Linked DNA regions of Caenorhabditis elegans. The protein of the gene in region 1 interacts with the protein of each later gene in a pairwise test. Each region holds a gene or a part of one and is shown in the gene's direction. Other genes may lie near its edges. The genes, in order: tra-4 and slfl-5.

The links.
Region 2: the proteins of tra-4 (region 1) and slfl-5 interact in a two-hybrid assay, tested with the Caenorhabditis elegans proteins (2 studies listed by BioGRID).

What each region holds. Positions count from the first base shown.
Region 1 is NC_003284.9:2,851,553-2,861,636, reverse strand, and holds tra-4 (Zinc finger protein tra-4), read left to right. Parts: upstream 1-4,391; 5' UTR 4,392-4,399; coding exon 4,400-4,465; intron 4,466-4,516; coding exon 4,517-4,581; intron 4,582-5,362; coding exon 5,363-5,562; intron 5,563-5,615; coding exon 5,616-6,162; intron 6,163-6,214; coding exon 6,215-6,473; intron 6,474-6,883; coding exon 6,884-7,204; intron 7,205-7,469; coding exon 7,470-7,596; intron 7,597-7,648; coding exon 7,649-7,695; 3' UTR 7,696-7,958; downstream 7,959-10,084. Other genes in the region: comt-1 (Catechol-O-MethylTransferase family), read left to right, coding at 195-498, 1,608-1,839, 1,897-1,978, 2,055-2,170, 2,214-2,337, 2,629-2,954, 3,006-3,104, 3,415-3,471; Serine/threonine-protein kinase kin-29, read left to right, coding at 9,250-9,285. UniProt on the Caenorhabditis elegans protein: Probable transcription factor. Promotes normal hermaphrodite (XX) development, in concert with histone deacetylase hda-1 and nasp-1, perhaps as components of a complex.
Region 2 is NC_003283.11:12,237,023-12,246,769, reverse strand, and holds slfl-5 (Tr-type G domain-containing protein), read left to right. Parts: upstream 1-1,725; 5' UTR 1,726-1,739; coding exon of another isoform or gene 1,740-1,769; 5' UTR 1,770-1,821; coding exon 1,822-1,883; intron 1,884-2,061; coding exon 2,062-2,461; intron 2,462-2,509; coding exon 2,510-2,740; intron 2,741-3,233; coding exon 3,234-3,989; intron 3,990-4,054; coding exon 4,055-4,169; intron 4,170-4,237; coding exon 4,238-4,440; 3' UTR 4,441-4,799; downstream 4,800-9,747. Other genes in the region: rad-50 (Zinc-hook domain-containing protein), read right to left, coding at 1-81, 137-185, 1,114-1,124; ttr-22 (Transthyretin-like family protein), read right to left, coding at 4,858-5,123, 5,172-5,340.

The sequences.
Region 1 (10,084 bases):
CTATTAATTCTTAACAGTTTTTACGTTTTGAATTTTAACGATCAACAGGATTTAGTACTAAATTTTCATATGCAAAAACTTCAGAAATTTCGGACAGAATTTTATTTCAGATTGAAATATCAGGTGTGCACAACAAAATAAAGTTATTGGATTTTTCCTAAACTTTCCTCCCTCCAATATTTCAAAACTTTCAGACATCATAAGATTTACAACAACGACTGAAAGAGTCAGATATGCTACATTTTCACCAAACATTCCCATGACCACCTCTACAACTCCAACAACTACAACTTCAACTTTTCCAACCTCAACAACTGAAAAATCTACGACAGCTCAACCTTCAACGACAACGAAACCAACTACAACATCTCCACCAACAACTCAAGTGAAGACTATCTTGCCAGCTACAGAAGCACAAAAAATTTTCACAAAGCCTCAATATCAAATCTGGCCTACCACAACCCGCCCAATGACAAGTACCTCGCAGGCTGTAATAAGGTGGGGTACATTATTCACGATAGGTAACTAGGTAACAATAGGTAATAGGTAACTAATGGAAAAGTTATACTTTTTGCACCTTTATATGGTAGTTATAGGAAACTGTAAGTTACCTACGTACATTTAATTGTGAGCATCCATATCCGAGCTGTTCTAATATACTTTACACTCAAAATTATAATTTTTTGTAAAAAAAAAAATTCCAATTTGATTGTGAATGCTATAAAGTTGTATGTTAAAATTATTTTTCACAAAACAATTAGGCTGGTATTACCTATTTAAAGCAACTAATTGTGTTCATAACTTAAATTGTCGAAAAAGGTGGATTTTGTCCACTGTTTGATTTTTCTGACATATTTTGTTTTCAAATTTATTAGTGTTTATTTTTATTTTTATTGGAACCAGACTATGCTGAAAAGCACGAAGGAGGCACGTAGGCAGACTAGAAGTTTCGGTTAGGTATTGTGGATAGGTTGATTAGACACGTAAGCGGACAAGCATGACGTAGGCACACAGGTAGGCAGGCAGAAACGTGGGCATGAAAGAGGTAGGTGCGTTAGTAGGCGTGAAACAACCATGTGATTTTGTGCGACTTACATAAGATTTGTCGGCACTTCCAAAATTCTTTCTCCAGCACAATATTATCAACTCCGTTTATCTGGAATTTTATAATGTGCCGCTTGTCGGTTTGCCGGAAAATTTGTTTTTTATTGAACGAATTCGACTGAAACAAAATACAAACGTGCATAAACACTAATTAATGTGGTTTGCAAACAAGAATAAAAAACGAACCAAAAATTAAACGATTGAAAAAATACTCTTTTTTGCCAATTTCAGGTAAGTACAGATTGAGTGGTAGAATCAAGCTAAAATTAATTTTTTGCAGAACCCAATTTTATCTGAAATAAAACTATATAACTAACAGATCAATCAAACGCCAATTGAAAAAATATCAAAAAACAAAAATTTCAGAAATTCTAATTTTTGAGTGCTTGGATATATGTGATATTGACTAAATATACATAACTTACAGTTTCCTATTTTTTATAAAAGTTTAAAAAAAAACAAAAAAAATTGACAAAACTTATTACTCACCCAATATGTTTCAGCTCAACCGAACAATTCATCCGTCCATCATCTATTATCCGGAACAATGTTTGGAAGAAAGTGACACCTTCTGTGACTCCTGAATATACAACTTCTGTGTTTTGGACTACCCCAATGTCAGTAACTGCAGAGCTTCCATCTGAGCCATCCACAATCACAATGTTGATCCCTACTCCACCAAGTGAATATCAGACTGTTTACAGCTCAACGGCTGGAATTCCGTTTATCATTAAAGTATGAAATCACCATTCTTTCATAGAATTAGAGAAACAATTCTGATTTTGTCTTCAGGCTAAAAAGTTCACACGCCCTCCAATTGTTGAAAAAATTGCGGTCACCTCTGCTCCCCACACCAATAAATATGACACATGTGGTAAGTACATCTTGCATTGTCTCTAATATGTGTACATAAATAATTTACAGTTGTATGTATATGATTTTAATTTCAGTTCCCGATCAAAGATGCTCCATCAAACTGAAAAGTTTTGAGACTTCTGATCCTTTATTCCAATACTGCTACAGTCACTCAACAATGATCGACAACTCCATTCAAGATTTGCTCAGGGTAAGGCAAAATTTAAAATTTTTATCCGTTACAATTTTTTCAGGACACCCAAACCGCTTCATCACTCCCACAACACATTTCTTGGCACAGTTCAGTGACCCCGGAAATTGTGCAACTAGTTCAAACTTTAATGTCACTTTATAGACCTTCAAGATGTTTAGTAATTGGTGAGTATATTTCATGTATGTTACTTGGAGAATAGATCAAAATTTTATTTTTCTATGAGGGGCTTAAGCAAGTCACGAGTCAAAATTCATAATGTTTTTCGCTGTTTACCGATTTTTCTGATATTATGCAGGTTAATGTTGTGCCATGAAGCCATGATTTTTCATTTCACGGTGCTTTCCAAAAAAGATTTTCGACCAGGCTCAACTTTGAGTCACTTCACGTGGTGTGGCTCTTTTTAACGTACTTGTTATAATGAAAAATTGATTTGTATTGTTAAAATAAACGTTCAGGAGTATTCACTGGTCTTGGATTACTCGGTGTCGCCGAAAGAGTTGATTCTCGAGGAATTGTTGTCGCACTTGAGCATCCGGCCTATGCTGTTTTCTGGGATAAAATTGGGCAGAAGCACGCAAGAAAACTCACGGCTACGCAAATGTCCAGAATTCAAATGAGAACATCTGAAAGCATCGAAAAATCATTGCCTCGACTTGCAACAAATGAACCCAACACTTTCGATTTTGTGTTTCTGGATGATTTTAAGAGGGAAAACTATTTGGATGATTATGAACACGCAATTCGACTGATTCGAAGTGGTGGTCTTTTAATCATTAACCAGGTCCCTCATTTCTTAATTAGAAATAATAGTTTTACGTTTTGTTTTCTCTAGGCACTCAATGGTGGTGGAGTGATGTCATCGATTGATCACATGACCAACGATGACAGGGTCATTCGAAACATGAACATACGCATCAAACAAGACCCCCGGGTGAGAAATTTAACTTAAAAATTTTTGAGACAGTGAAAGGGGGAGTATCGGTTTTGGGTATTTTGAACGAATTTCAAAATGAAACTTCTGAAAAAATTTTCAAAATGTTTTATGGGGATTCAAAATTTAAAAGAAAATTGGGCTTGTTCTCTCAAAATTTGAGCAGTTTTCAGTGTCGCAGCGCTAGTTTTTGTGAAGTTTCAAAACTAAATTCGTTTGTTTGAGCACATTGTTGGTATATACGTTCAAAATACCCTGAACCAATATATTAAGATAACTAATTAAAAATCAGAAACTTTACATTTTTCAGGTTTCTGCTTCTCTACTTCCATATGGTGGCGGCACCTGGATTGTTACAAAGAATTGATATAAAATTTGAATTAACATTGTTTTGTATGTTTTTATTTGCATTAAAACTTCTCAATCGCCACGTGTAAAGTGGTGTTCTTGTCCTCAATCAATCCGGTTCATATGTGTTCATAATTTTGACAATGAAATTTTTTAAACCTTCATATTTTTTTATTTCCATAATGTTACTCTAAACGGTTAACCCAGTGTGCTAGAGGTAGAGTAGAATTTAAAAAAAAAAAGAGCTTTTATGAAAATCCAGAGCAATATCGCGTGTTCCAAACACTAGAATGTTTTAACAGAAATATTGAAAACAAAATTAAAGTATTAAAAAGCGTAGAAAAAACTTTTTTTGTCGGCTTCCAAATTTTGAGTTGCAAAAATAAGTAAATATATTTTAAATAAAACATTTAAACTTTTTTGAAAAGTTTTACAATACTATTCGCCTATTTTGGTTTTAATAGAGAAGTTTTAAACACGTTTTTCAATGCCGCTACTTCATCTTTAAAACATCTGTCTGCGAAGCCTTCGTTCTTTGTTTGAGGACAGGCGGACTAGAAAACCCATAGCATTAACTCTTCCATTTCGTTTTTGAGAGCGTCTCATATATATTTCAAGGTTATTATTTTTACAATATTTCTATTTACAAATACATTTTTATCGGTAATTCTTTTTTTGTTTTTTTCGAAAATAGTATTTTTTAATATATTTTTTAACTAAATGTTTATATCATATTTCGATTTAGTTCCACAAACCTAAATTATTTTATTTTCCAATCAAATGAATTGAAAAAATTATTTAAAATCCTGCAAAAACCAGTTAATCGATGAAACTCTGAAATTCAATGAAGAGACGCGATGCGGTCGCGCTGCGTACGCCTGTAATGTGCAGTGTTTTGGTGCGCGCGCGCGCATACTATCGACCCACTATTTCCCACGGTTCAGGCAATGGATGACCCAAATCAATGCACTATTAAACAGGAGGACTCCATAACGCGACCAAGACCTACAGAGGTGAGTTTCTGTTATTTTTTTTCTAATCTCAAAAATTCTTCCCAATTTCAGGCGCCAACGATACAAAATTTGAAACAAGAACCGGCGATTGAAGAAGGTTCATCCTCAACAATGGAGTAAGTTTTTTTTGTTTCTTTTTATAATATATGTAAAATCCGAAAAAATCATTTACTATATATAAAGCGCTTATTCTGTGTGTCCATAGTTTGTAGTCTATGTGGTCTTTGTAGTCTGTGAAGTTTTGGCTTCTGTAGGGATAGTGAGTTAGGGTTAGTGTAGGGATATAGTCGGGGTACTGTAGTGGTACAATTGTGGTACGGTAGGAATACTGTAGGGTGACGGTAGTTTCATAAAAAATCAATTTTCAGCCCCAGAAGTCGGGGGCCGCGCCGAAGGTGCGGTCCACGGCTGGTTAATCTATATTTGAATTTCGTAATGAAATTTCTCAAAATATTTTTATGTCGGTTCAAAAACAGCCAAACTAGCTGAAATCCTTAATTTTGTCAACTTGTTTTGTGTCGCAGAGGTCGGAAATTTTCTTTTTTGGAATTATAAAATTTTATTGCATATTTTGATAGTACTTTATTTTGTAAATTTGGGTACTTTTGAAGCCGATTGGTGACCAAAAATAACAAAAATTGATCACCTAACAGTTTTAAATGTACCAAACGACCAAATTGTCCAAAGGGATGTTAATTCAGAAAAGTGAACTTCCAACCGATCAGATACGGGAAGTGACCAAAATTTAAGGTTTTAGGTACGGCTAGGCCATTTTTTCCAAATTTCGAACCGCCATAATTGTGAAGATTTCATTACGAAAATCATTTGTTTGAGCACATATCGGGCCTATACGTTCAAAATATGCAGAAAAAATCATTTAATTAATTTAATTTTCAGTAATATGCTGATGCTTACTATCGACACCAACCAAGCAAATTGGCAAGGCACCTACGACGACGATGAGATGGATTTGAATAACAAGACCGATTTGATTCCATTACTTGAAACAGAGAAAACGACAATTAATGAGGACGAGCTCTATGACGACGAGGAGGACGATGACGACGATGAAGAGATCAAAAAGGGAATCGGTTTTGGTAATTTGAAACATCTAACTACAAGTTTTTACTAATAACGTGTGTTTTTTCAGAACTTCTAGCTCAAGCACTCGGAATGTCAGCAAAGGTTCCTGTTGAGAAAGAAGAGCCAGAGAAAGAACGTGCAAAGCTCAGTGGAGTCGGAGAATTTATGAAGCAAATTCGAGGAGAAATCAAGCCCATCCAGAAAGAGCGAATTGTTCTTGATGAGTTGGGATTTCGGGTCAGAGACCCTTCGAAGTTTCCTCCTTGCCGTATTGCTGAAGTTCAACAGACACTAACTCTAGCCGATCATCAGGATGGAATTGATCTTCCTCCACCGAATGCTCCAACGGATGTTCGGATTGTACGCAAGCTGATTCGACAGAAAATGGTTCGATGCAAAAAGTGCAAGAATCGATTTATCGAGAAGAACATTTATGAACGACATCTGCGCGACAAACATCCAGATCTCTACGAGGAATATATTCGTGAACAAGAAGAAGAAGTGGAGCTGCAACGGCTTGAAGAAATCGAAGCAAATCGCATTGAAGAGCTACAAACAGGAGGATTCATCCCGCCGGAAAACGAGATTTCTCAACCATCTGAGGATCCAAACTAGTAGGTTCAGCAGTTTTCCGTTTATTTTCTAAATTTCGTCATGCATTTTCAGTATTCCCCTTCCCGGAGAAAACAATGGCGGCCTGGTCCCACGTTTTGACTATTATGGAAGAATCAAGCAACTAAAGCGTCCGTACAAGAAAAAAGTGTCGCCGCAATGTCCGTTCTGTGATAAACGTTTTAGAAATGAGTTTTCCCTCAAGAAACATTTTGCAAAGAAGCACGAGGAGATGGTCGAGTTTCAGCAGTGTCTCAAATGTTTTAAATGTGTTGAAAATGATGCAGAGATGGCGAATCACGACTGTGAATTGGTAAGAAACAATACAAAAAACTCTAAAAATGTTACCTGGCCAATCAAAAAAAAATTTCCTTCTATTTTTTTAATATTTCAATTTTGTTTCAAATATTAATATTCAAACTTTGTAGGACTCTGATCATGCGACATTGCTATAGTTATCTCAAAAAGTGGCAAAATCTCAGTAATAGCTCCTGTTGGACTAGGGAAAAAAAAAATCAAAAAAGTGTTGTATTTGGCCATTTTGGCGCCAGGGGTTTCTAACAATTTCCCCACTGGCGCTACTTTAGTTTAAAACCCTCATTTATAACAAATAACAAATACACTTAAATTTCTTTATTTTAAAACTTATAATTGAATACTACATTCTGGATCTTTGTTCCAGTTCAAACTAAAGACAAGCTCTTAAATAATTAATATTTTCAGACTTATGTTTGCTTCGAATGTACTCCGATCAGAAATCTTTGCACCGACAATCGTCTCCTAAATCACCGAAAGAAGTTCCATCGTGGAGCGAACTCTGGTTTCCGCTGTTCGTTCTGTAACATGAAGTTCCTTACACCGCGTAAACTTCGGAAGCACAAGAAGATGTCCCATGTGTTCACAAAAACGTTCCAATGTCATTTTTGCGAGGAGATATTCATTAGTGAAGTTGCAGTGATGACCCATGAGAGAATGCATACGGGAATTATAAAGTTTGAATGCAAAGTTTGCGACTTTCGTGCAAACCGATACACTGCTATGGAGGTGAGCTTATTCTTTCACACATTAACTTCAAGTCAGCATTTGTCATAATAAAAAATCACATGGTAAAAATGACATTTGTTTTTTTTTGAAGGGGTGCTCTGAGATAGGATTAACATACATGTAAAAAAGAAGAAAAACAAAAAAGAAAAATCAATGTTATTACGGCGATGAAATCGAGGACTCACAATGAGATCAGATTATATCCTGGTGCCTGCCCTTTTGTCATGAATACCCTTATATGAACTTTTAATTATATTGATTCCAGGAACACAAGAGAGATGAGCATGGATATGTTTGCGCGATTTGTCACGAACGTCACGCGGAATACCCCGAGATGAAACATCACGTGTATGAAGAGCACGGAGGCTACCTGGCAGCAGATGAGCCGACAGGTATCACTGAAAAACGAATGACAGAATTTTTAAAATTGAATTTTAATTACAGCATACGTGGAGACTCCGCGGATGTGGATACTCTACAAAGGCGAGTGAAACTTCTTCATCATCACAGATCTTCATCAAAACTACCACACTTTCATTTGATACATTTTTTTTTCAATTTTTTGTTTGTTTTTGTTTCACTTCCCGATTATGTTAAAAAGGGTTTAATTTTGTCATTTAATGTTGATTGTACTATTACTGTAACACCTCTTACTTTTTTTCAGACCATGGACGTGTTTTAATGTTTTAATCTAGCGTGCTATCAATCATTCAACTTTATTCATGATATACACACAAATAAATCAGGTTACTATATGTAGATATTTTGAAATTTATGACATAGTTCACATTGAATTGCTGAACCTTTCGCTTTTTTGTTTTTTTTTTGCATTTTTGTTACCATGATAACTTACAGGAAATGCTCAGGTGGTAGGACGGTAGCAATCATGAGAAATACAAGTCCTGCCTCCCTTTAGGTTCCCACAACCTTAACGGAAAATATTGGCCACAGTCACTGGCTTGGACGTGGCTTAAAATAAAGCCTAGTGGGAGTACCACCGGGCAGTGTACTTGACTTTCAGATGCGCGGTGCATGGCGCTTCACGTGGTGTGTGGCTGTGCCATCAGGGTTTGATCTACAAAAAATGCGGGAATTTTTTGCCTTTAAAAATTTGACGAGAACTCTGCGTCTCACCTCCCGCATTTTTTGTAGATCTACATAAAGCAAACCAAAATGGGACAATCTAACACCACGTGGTGCTTGAAGAACGGATCAAACTTGAATCCTTCAATGTTTTTAATTTCAAGTATTTTTAATTGGAAAAGTTATAGTTCCATTGGCATTTTTTATTTTAGAGTCCTAACTATCAATCAACTTTTTTATAACATATACACATATAAGTCAAGTGACTATAATTTGAAATTTATTACAATGCTCATATACAAATGCTGAATGATTTTTATCATTATAAAAACTACGTGAATTAATTTGTTGGTGGTTTAAAAGTTTATTTTCTTGAACTTGCTCAAGCAGTGCGATCTCCGCCGCCCGGTTGAGCTCCTCAAGGCATTGTATGAGTCAGTGTGAGAGATCAGCAAGAAGCGACGAGAGTTCTTAACGGGACCCGGGCACGCGTGGAGAAAGAGAGAGACGCAAATCCGAGACATTGAGAAAAAGAGACAGTGGTCGCTGGACGGGTGCGTTTTTCCTGTGTATGTGTGTCTGTTTGTGTGTGTGTGCGTGTGTGCGGGCCCCCCGCTGCCTTAGTCCAAAGTGTGAGAGTGAGAGAGAGGATGGTGGGAGAAGATGGGAAAAAAGCGGCGCGGAAAATCGAGAAACACAGTGCGGGAAAGAAAGCGAATAGGAATTGTGTGCGAGCGCGCCATGGCGGTGAGCGTTATTGAGTGTATTGGAAGGCGAGCGTGAGAGAAGAAGAGACGCCGAGGCGGCGGCGGAGGCGGCGGCAATGAGCGTTAGTGAGTGAGTGGGTGAGTGAGAGCGTGTATGTATGTATATGTGCGTCTGGTGGTAAAACTCTATGCACTCTCTGTTTTAACTTACGACACTATCTTGTCGCATTCAGGCGCCGCCACACCAACACTGCAATGGCTGCGCCACGGCGGCGTATGGGCCTTGAAAAGGTGGGTGTTCTTCTCTCTGTTCCATTCTTTGTTCTCAATTTCCCTTCCCCACACACACAAAACACCCACACTTAATTGAATGGTGCCTAGTTAATTGACTTGTTCGGCGTGCGATTGCACTTTATTTTTTCTCCCCATTCATTTAAGGTCACACAATTTACATAAAATATGTATGTAAAAACATTGCGCAATCTACCGTGAGAAGGTGCGTTTTGTCGTTTTTGTTTCCCGCCATAGAACAGTCTTTTTCTGATTTTATCGTTTAATGCCCAAGCAAATTCCCACGCATCCGTTCGACAGTCGGCAATAAATCAACGAGCGCCGAGAGTTTAACGGCAGAACATAAAGATGGATGCTTGAGAGTTTTTCTTTTTTTTTCGTCCGACAAATTTTTGCACAGCATTTTTGACCGCTTTACGTCATGCAACGTTTTTAGCAAGAAGTTAAAAAAATAAAATAGATTAAAAGTGGAGTAGCGTCAGTTGTGAATTTAAAAAATTGCTATCTCACCACACCACAGTAATCAAATAACAGTTAAAAACATTTTTAAAAAAGTTGAATTTTATGATTTTTTGAAAATTGGAAAAAATCCCAGTTTTCGCCACTTTTTGGAAGTTGTCGATAAAAAAAGGTTTTTAACAAATTCTCCACTGGCGCTACTCCACCTTTAAAACAATGTTCCATAAAAAAACCTGCGTAGTTTTTTTTTTGGAAAAAAAATCATTACTTCCTTTCATGTTAGTTGGTTTCCGATGCGATTATGCAGTTGCATAAAAAATCTTTCCCACATTTTCTAAAT
Region 2 (9,747 bases), on another chromosome or scaffold:
TAGTGTGCACGGAGAGAGGAAATCAATTTTGTGAACATCGTGGTCCTCATCACCGACACTTCGAATTCCTCTGATGTGTAGCTGAAATTTTCATAAATTTAGTATTTTCAGAGTAAAAATAAATTTGCAGACTTACGCGTAAAAATTTCGCCATAAGCAATTCCCAGGCTTCGATAAGCAAATATCTGAAACATTCTCATTTGCAAATAGGTTTATTCAAAGAAAAATGTTGCGAAATTAAATTAATATATTGATTCCGTTGGAAACTCTGGAAAAAGGACTAAGTAAAGTGAAATTCCTGAGTATTTTCAATTAATTCCTGTGTAAAGTGGGCCTTCTGCGTATTTTTAATTAATTTTTGCGTAAAGTTAAACTCTTGCATGAAGTAAAAAAACAGAAAAAAAACAATTTCGAAAACTGACAAAAAAACAGTTTCCGATTCAAAAATAGAGCGCAAAAACAAAATACGATGCTCCGAAGTTCCGCAAGCGCGTGTTGTTTAACCGAAAGAAGATTTCGATTTTTTCTTTTCCCTCTGCTTTTGATTTTGAGCTTCATATTAATTTCTTCATTCTGAAAATCACGAAAACTCGGTAAAAGCTTCCTGTTTATTTTAATTTTTGGCAATCATGAAATTTTTTTTCAAATTCTCACATGGTTAAAAAACATCAGTCAAACGATTGATAAGATATTTTCCGAACAACTGATAAACTCGTATTCTAGAAATCGTACAAACGGTTTTATTGTTGTTTATTTTGAACTGAACGTTTTTGTCTAAGGAAATGCATCATATTGCGTCACATCGAATGTTGTTCTTAAGAGTAAGGAAATATTTCGCAATTTTCTGCAACATTCTTTAACGGCTGTGTTCGGTCATTTTACTTGTATTTAGGGCTACTAACAGCCCCACTTGTATTATTATTATGATTTTACCTTTCGTTCCAGAAGGCTGAAATTTTAGAAATTCTGAGTAAGACTAACTTTTATGTTTTATTCCAATATATTTACTGTTTAAAAGTATCCTCCATTGTCACCTGGTATTTAGAATGATTATTAACCTGTCGAATGCACCTTCAAAGATCTCAATGCCCACCTACGTGTGAAAACACTTACTTCCTTCTCATTTCCGTCCGATCGTAATCAAAAAGAAACAGGTTTTCCTCTCTCTCATCATCTGTCTTCCAAGCTTCAACTTCAACCTTCCTTCAGTATCTTCTTATTCTTCCAGCTGTCCACTGCCAATCAGTAGGTTCATATTCCCGTAAAAAATCGCCATTTTGTCTGGTTTCTTTTGATTTGAACGCTTCTTTTCATCTCATTCCTCTCTTATTCTCTCATGTATTTGCTCAATCATTCAGCATGCTCACTGTGAAGCTTGTGTGTGCATAATTTCTTTTCATAGAATCGAGCGACGTGGAAATCGATATTTCTCACTGTTCCTTTTTTCAATATTGACAAATTTCCAGTTCAAAAGTCAACTTAACTTGTTGTTATGTTCCTCTCCGATTTTTTCTGTCTTATTTTCTTCTTTCGAAAACAACAGCGGCTCCCCTTTCCCACTTTTTTCTCTTCATACGTCAATTCTCTAAGTTCTCATATTTCTCTACAATCTCTACATGTTGACCGAACCAGTTAACAACTGACTTTTCAAAACCTCTCGAAACACGACATTTTTTTCTCAAGTACCCGAACCTCTCTCCCTATGATTAAAATTTGATGTTCCAGAATCGGAGAATCGAATGATAGATCGAATACGGCGTGAGCAGTAGTTATCCAACTGATTATCTCATTTCATAAAATAATAAACAACTCAATCTCACTATGGATTTTATGATTTCACATTTCTGCGATGAGCAGAATCATCAGCCACTTTACAAAACTAGGTGAGTACGATAAATATTGTGTGGTTAACATTTGAAAATTTTATTTCTAAAATCAAAATTCATTTATTTAAATTCCTTATAAAAAATAAATCAATTCTAAAACATTGATATAAAATCAATTCAATTTATTTAATGTCGCCAAATCATTTAAGGTAGTATATTATATTATTTTTTACAGACGACAATCAATATCGGACTCTAAAAATGGACCAACACTTCTCAGCTCTTCACTGCCAACTAACGATGAATGTTCCGACTCCGACACCGAAAACCGATTGCCACCTGAAACGGAGCTTGGAAATATTGAGTACAAAGCAAAATTAGTAAATCCAACGACATCTCGTATACAACATCTGATCACTCAAATGAAATGGCGTCTTCGTGAGGGTCAAGGAGAGGCTATTTATGAAATTGGCGTTGAGGATGGTGGAATAATGTCTGGATTAACAGACGAGGAACTGAATGATTCACTTCGGACCTTGAGAACGATGGCCCAAGCTCTTGGGGCGAGTATGGTTATTTTGACCGAGAAAGACGTTACTGTTAAGGGATCAAATTCACGGAGAACTGTAGTCGAGGTAATTATTATTGAGTCATATTTTATCTAAATGAAATTATTTTTCTAGGTACTTGTCCGAAAGGTTCCTGAAAGCCAGCAATTCATCGAAGTTCGTCTTGCTGTCGTTGGAGGATGCGATGTCGGAAAATCAACACTGTGTGGAGTGTTAACACAGGGTTGTCTGGACGACGGAAACGGAAAAGCAAGAATTGGAATATTCAGATTTCCACACGAAGTGCGAACAGGAAAAACCAGTTCTGTCTGTAATGATGTCATTGGCTTCGATAATCGTGGAAAGGTTAGAAATTTTTCGAAACATTCAGAATGGGTTAAAATATGCTTGAAAATATTTAAAAAAAAAAACAGTAAACTGATTAAATTGTAGATAATTTCTTTATTGAAAATTTTAAAGTTGGATCCTATTTATTAGGGTTTTTGATTTAAATAATTAAAAAAATGGACGGTAATACCGAATATAATTGTTTCAAAAAATCATAAAATTTTTATAATTTTTTCAATTTTGCAAAAATAAAAAAATAAAAATCTGTTTTTGAATTCCCGCCCAATTATCAAAAATAAAAATTTAAAAAGTTAGAAAGATTTTATAACTTTTAAAATCAATTAAAATCGATTATTACGGTCAATTTTTTTTTCATTCAAAACAAAATTTCAAAATGATTCTACTCCACTTTTGAATACAAAAACAATGAATTTAGAAAAATTTTATTTGAAAAACTTAAATTCGATTTTTTTAAATTTATTTATAAATATCTAATTTTTACTTTTTTCAGCTAGTCAATTATGCACAAAATAGTCTCGAAGAAATGGTGGAGAAGTCTTCAAAACTTGTAACACTTATCGATCTGGCTGGAGACGCAAAATATCAGAAAACGACAATTCATGGATTAACCGGATACACTCCTCATTTCGCTTGCCTTGTTGTAGCCGCCGATCGAGGAATCACGTGGGCCACTCGTGAACATCTTGGATTAATTGCCGCTTTAAACATTCCAATGTTTGTACTGATCACAAAAATGGATCTAGTCGATCGACAAGGACTTAAGAAAATCATCAAAGATGTTTCCAATCTTGTTGCGAAAGCAGGGATGACAGCTCGCGAGAAAAGAGTGAAAACTAAAAGAGACGCAGTGAAGGCGGCACAAGAACTCTGCGTTGGTAGTATCGTACCAGTTCTTGCTGTTAGTTCAGTGAGCGGAGAAGGTTTTCGTTGTCTCAGAACACTTCTCAATTGCCTTTCTACAGCTGGAACTGCAGAGTCACGTATTCAACTAGTTGGACTCCCAGCCTTTTTCACAATCGAGGAACTATATAATGTGCCTCATGTTGGACAAGTAGTTGGAGGAATGCTATCTGAAGGACAATTGCATGAAGGAGCAGATGTTCTTGTTGGACCCATGAAAGATGGAACTTTTGAAAAAATTACTGTCGGGTCGATTCGAAGAAGCCGGCAAGCCGTAGGATGTGTTAATCCTGGTGAAGCTGCATCGATATCCTTGAATCTTCCAGACGGTGTCAGTCTAAGAAGGGTAAGTATTTTTTTCCACAGAAAAATCATTCGAAATGTGAAACATATTGATTATTTTCATTAAAGGGAATGGTTCTTGCTGAAATCGATCATCAACCACCAGTTTGTTACGAATTCACTGCCAATCTTTTACTGCTGTGTCACTCGACGAAATACATATGCGAAGGATTTCAAGCCACAGGTGAGTACTTTTTCTCATTTCAACTTTCAGTTTTGATTTTTTCTGAAATAATTTATGAACTTTTTCAGTGTTTATCGGAAGTGTCTGTACAACTGCCATTATTACTCACATCGACGATGCAGACTGCATCCGTCCAGGAAAATGGGCTGTAGTTAAAATGTGTTTCGCCTATCAACCAGAAGTCATTCGTGAAGGATCACCAATTATTCTTCGTCAAGGAAAAACCAAAGGAATGGGAGAAGTATTAAAAGTATTTCCGTGCACCCAATGATAATTGTTAGTCTGAAAATCTCTAAATTTTACTGCCACCCCCCCCCCCCCCTCCCAATTATCTTGTATATTTTGTGTAGACCTCTTTTTTGTAGTCTTTTTTCACTCTCTCTCTCTTTGCCCTCTCCTCCTAGGTACCCGTGTGTTTACATTTTGCTCCGGGTTGATAATAGTTGTACATAGTTGAAATTGTACAATTCTGAATATTTGTTCACTAAGTGAACCTTTTTGTCTCCAAAAATACTCTAGATCCTCTTTTTTCTCTTCTTCCAGGTGCCCCCACTCATTCTATTCATTTTTTGTAGCATTTTTTGCGCTACTGCTTTTTTAGTTACAATTTTAAAAATGAACTGAATTCACTCTTCCTAGATGTCCCATTTCAATTATTCTAGAAACAAATTTATTAGGAAGTACACATTCAATGGATACAATCAGTGGTTTCTCCACTGAACTGATTAGCTAAGTTCAAAGTTCCAATATCATAATTATCAGTCGAGCTACTTCCAGATGCAACTGCATAATCAGGAATATTGATTGTCACTTTCTTTGAACATGGTCCATTGTAATTACAACTATGATATATATTCACTTTTGGATCCAATGTTAAAATATCTGTATATGTTCCAGAAACAGAAAATGTTCCATCAGATGAGGTGGTCGTCGAACCTAATTTCGAGTCATATACTGAAAAAATCAATTGTTTCAAAACAGTTCTTCCAAATAATAACTTACTCGTTCCATCGTCATACATCTTCACGAGAACTCCACTGGCTGGCTGTCCTTCACAAACCAATTTTCCCGTTACAGTAACACTTTGAGTGCTTCCGATAACATTGAGTAAAGCATCGGAGCAATGAATCAAAAAGAAAACAGAAAGAGCAATATATGTAATTGAAAACATTGTGAACACAAAATTCAGAGTGATTCTTGTAAGACATTTATATACTGTCTACAAGAAGTAAATAGAAACACAGTTCGAGTAAATATAGTCGTTACAAATTGTTACTTTGCTCACTGACTCAATAATTGTCACTTAAAATGAAATCATAGATCAACGACAAAGGATATAATTGGTTCTTTTTAGATAATTCTATTGTAAATATCAACTTTGTTCAACGACTAAAAGTCCATTTTAAATTTGGTGAAACGCCAATAGTAAAAACTTTTAAAATCACTATATGATGCTCACAACGGTAGAAATGACTCAGTTTTCACATTTCATAGTTTTGAAGGTTGACCAAAAAACTTTTAACTTGGATTACATTAAATTAATTTGTAATTGATTTGTAGGGTTTCGAACATACAAGAATGCTTAATGTGATAAAGTTTAAACTAACTTTAAGAACATACTGAAAATTACAAAAAGTGTGAAACATGCTAGTGATTAAAAAATAAATATTCAGTATTTTTGGTTCATTTGTATACTTGACGGAACTGACCACATGGTGTCAGAGTGTCCCATATCGGTACAATCTACAAAAAATTCTTAAATTTAGACGCAGACTTCTCAGCAGATTCCGCATGGTTGAGAGCATGTTTATGCTCGAGAAATTCCTGATTTCTCGTAGATCAACCCGTAATGGGACAGCCTGACACCACGTGACTGAATCTACCACACCTTTACACCAAGACTACTACGACAAAATACTATTAAGGAAAATATTTTTTGCTCAATAGTTTCCTGATCTGAAGCTATGTTTTTGACTTTGTCCACTGAATGCAAAATTATATTCTAGAAAATAGTTCAAATTAATTGAAGTGGATCTACGAACCTCTAAACTCTAGAAAAATAGGAAGGAGGAATTTATATCGTAAATTAGTGTATAAGGTAGAAAAAGTTCAGGACTCGAAAAAACATAATATTTTTGAATTGAATCGTAGTTGCAAATCACGTATATATTAGCAGACTATGGAAGAAATTGGGGTTTTATCAAAAAAACAAGATACAATTGAAAGCGATTCTACAAATGGTCCGGAATATAAAGTTATAATGCCCCAAATAAAAATCGAACCATCAATTCTCGATATGCAACGCTTTCATCACAGTTGATCTATAATTCCGTGACATTGAAAAATTGATTAAACAATGTGCAGCCGCATTGAAACAGAAAAATGTATCAACCCAAACATCGCCATACAAGAGAACCATGTGGAGAATTGTATTAAATTGTGGATTAATGAATATCCAGATAAATTCAAATGCACCACCAGGAAGACTTGAAATTGTGTAGAAGATTGTCATGCACATTATCATCCTTCCCGACCGATATCTTGAAATTGAATTTAATAGTTAAGTTAATAATCAAATCAGCTGGCATACCGTTCTATTGCATCTTGTCTACTGAGTGTCACTGATGCGAAGCGTGCAGATTTAATGATTTCAAACATTAAAAGTGCACCAAAAATTGGATAAACAATTGTGATGATCATCTGAAACCAAAAAATGAGTTTATGTTTTTGTATTAATAAATCTAGTAAAAATACTTCGAAGTTTGAAAAATAATCATTCAAACAATTCCAATACGATTCAAAAAAAAAAACGGAACTATTCTAAAATTGCGGGCAATAAAATTACATTAATTTTGAGTTGTTCCAAATTCTAATAATCTCAGATTTCCAATCGCATACTTGTCAGATCAAATTGCTACTCGGAAGTTTAGCTATATCCTAGAAAGCGTAAAGCAAAATCCAAAAAAAAATTTTAAAGTCTTCCTACCCGAAAACTCCCAGTTGTGTATCGATAATTGTCTATCGAAATAATAGGATGTTCTCCAATCTGGTGATCGTAAAACATATTAGTGAAGTTTTCTGGTACTCCCGTGCAACTGAAAGATAAACGTTACTTCAAGGTTCTTTGTAAAATGAATCTTTCTCACTTTTCATCCCATGGTGCACCAATCAAATCATATCCTGTATAATAGATACCAGAAGGAAGGGAACTGATCAGAATTACACCGACTACCAATAAATATCCAAATGAGTTACTTGACAAAGTCGGAGCATCACCAGAAAGTTTCATGAGAATAAATCGGATTAATGCTAAAAATAATCCCAAGGAAAAAGAAGATTTTTCAAAAGTATCCTTCAAAAAGTCTTTAACAAGAAAATAAATATTGACGTAATAAGAACTATTGAACACGCATGGATCAAGAAAATACCAATCTAGTTCAATTCTATCATTTAGTTTCCCAAATGCAAAAACAAGTCAGAAATTGCGATGCCAATTAATAAACAATTTGTACTTGATGTTCTTATTGAGCTTCTCGTTAAAATAAAAATATGTGGAATAGTCAAAACTAATGATATTATTGATAATATTAGTTGGGCTTTTAGAAAATAATCAGAGAGAAGAATAATTGAATACAATGTGTCTATGTCTAACTCATCGTTCATTTTTTTCAAATGAAAACCAAAGGAAAAGTGAGAGTTGGCAAAATTTGTTTTAGTGTTTTGTTTGAAAGTGAAAATGTTTTTACCATGAGCTTTATAAACAACTTTCTCGTGATACATATATCTCCCTAACAGCTATAATTACCAATTATAATTATATAGCAGCAATTTTATAGTTTGAGACAAAAAGTAAAGTTTCGGATTGTAAACTCCGCTTTCCAGATAACAATTTCAAAATTTAAGCTTCTGAAAAACTTATATTTGAATAAAATTGTGCTAAAAACGAGAAGTTTAGTTGTGAAAATATGTATGTACATTATTTATCAAAAGTATATTATTTTCTATAGTTTGCAACATTGTTCTGCATCATCCGCTTTTTTTGTGATTGTAAAATCAGCTGGTTTATCCGAGAAGAAAAAAAATGAGGTGAACGTTGCCTGAAATAATTTAAAAATTTATTATTTAGACTAAAATGTTCACCTACCACAAGCAATAGGCCTGAATTAATACAAAACGCAGTTGCCCATTGTGCCCGGCTATTCTCATCGTGAACTGTCAGAGCTACTAATGCTGGAACAAAGAATAATGCAATTGCTTTGCAAAATTGTATTGCAGCAATCACGACGTCCGCATACTGTAATGCCACGTATCTTGCACATTGATAATATCCACCACAGTTTGTAGACATCATACCTAAACATATACCATAGTTTTCAAAAATAATTTCAAAACGAACAGTTAACAGCTGTAACCAAGGTCATAGCCCACCAGCGATGAGCTTCATCAACAAATCCAACGATTCCAAATAGAATAGACACAATACCACATGATATAAAATTGAAAATTAGCATTTTAGTACGAGGACTAATAAATGTAACTTTATCACTAATATACGCAGCGAGTAATTTGAAAGGGATCTGTGCAAAATTGGTTATACTGATAATAAATCCAGTTTGTTCGATTGTAAATTTCAAAACTTGATTGAAATATATTGGAGAGTAGGTTATCAGAAGGATTGACATTGATAAATCCATGAAAGCATTGAACCAGCAACAAATTATTGCCGGATTCTTTATCATTGCAAAGTATGGTATTATTCTGAAGTTTCGGCTGGTTATACGTTTTTGATAAACTAATACCTTTTAGTTTCATAATGTTCAAGTGATTTTCCATCTTGAATATGTTCCAATTCTCGAGTCCCAACAAATCGATGAGTCGCTGGATTATCCGAATAAAAAAACCCATAAAATAAAACAGATAACACTAGCAATCGAGTGTACGTAAAATGAAGATTCCCATCCAAAAGATGTTGTGCAGAACTAAAATATGGGAAACTGAACAATTAGTGAATTAGTTCTTCCCACTTATGCTGCCTTTAGTAAGTAATAAAAATTCAAAACTTTAAATTTTATACTAATTCTAGTGAACCTACCCATCCCGTTAACGAATCCGTAATTGAGGTGGCAAACGGTGAGAATATCGTTAGAGCAGAGACGAAAAATGCGTTCTCGTCAAGCGGAGCCCATTTCATACAAATTATTCCAATAACTGCAAAGTCTGCTGCATAAGAAATTCCTTGAAAAAATCGAATGATTAAAAGTAGATAGAAGTTGGTTGAAGCCATTGTGGGAATTAATACAGTCGATATAAATGAGAGAATTCCAGCCGAGAGAAATGTGAACCTATTGGAATAATGTTAATATGTATTAGAAATTACTTCCAAAAATATTTACCTTGCTCCAAATTTAACATAGCACCAATTATATGGAACAGTTCCTAGTACAGTTCCAATTGCTACCGCCCATATTATTTCTGCTTTTTCATCACTCGAATAGTCATAAATATTGTATTCAGTCTGGAAATAGGCGTTAACTTTTTTTTGATTCAGTAACTTACTCCATTTGGAGATGTCCTAATA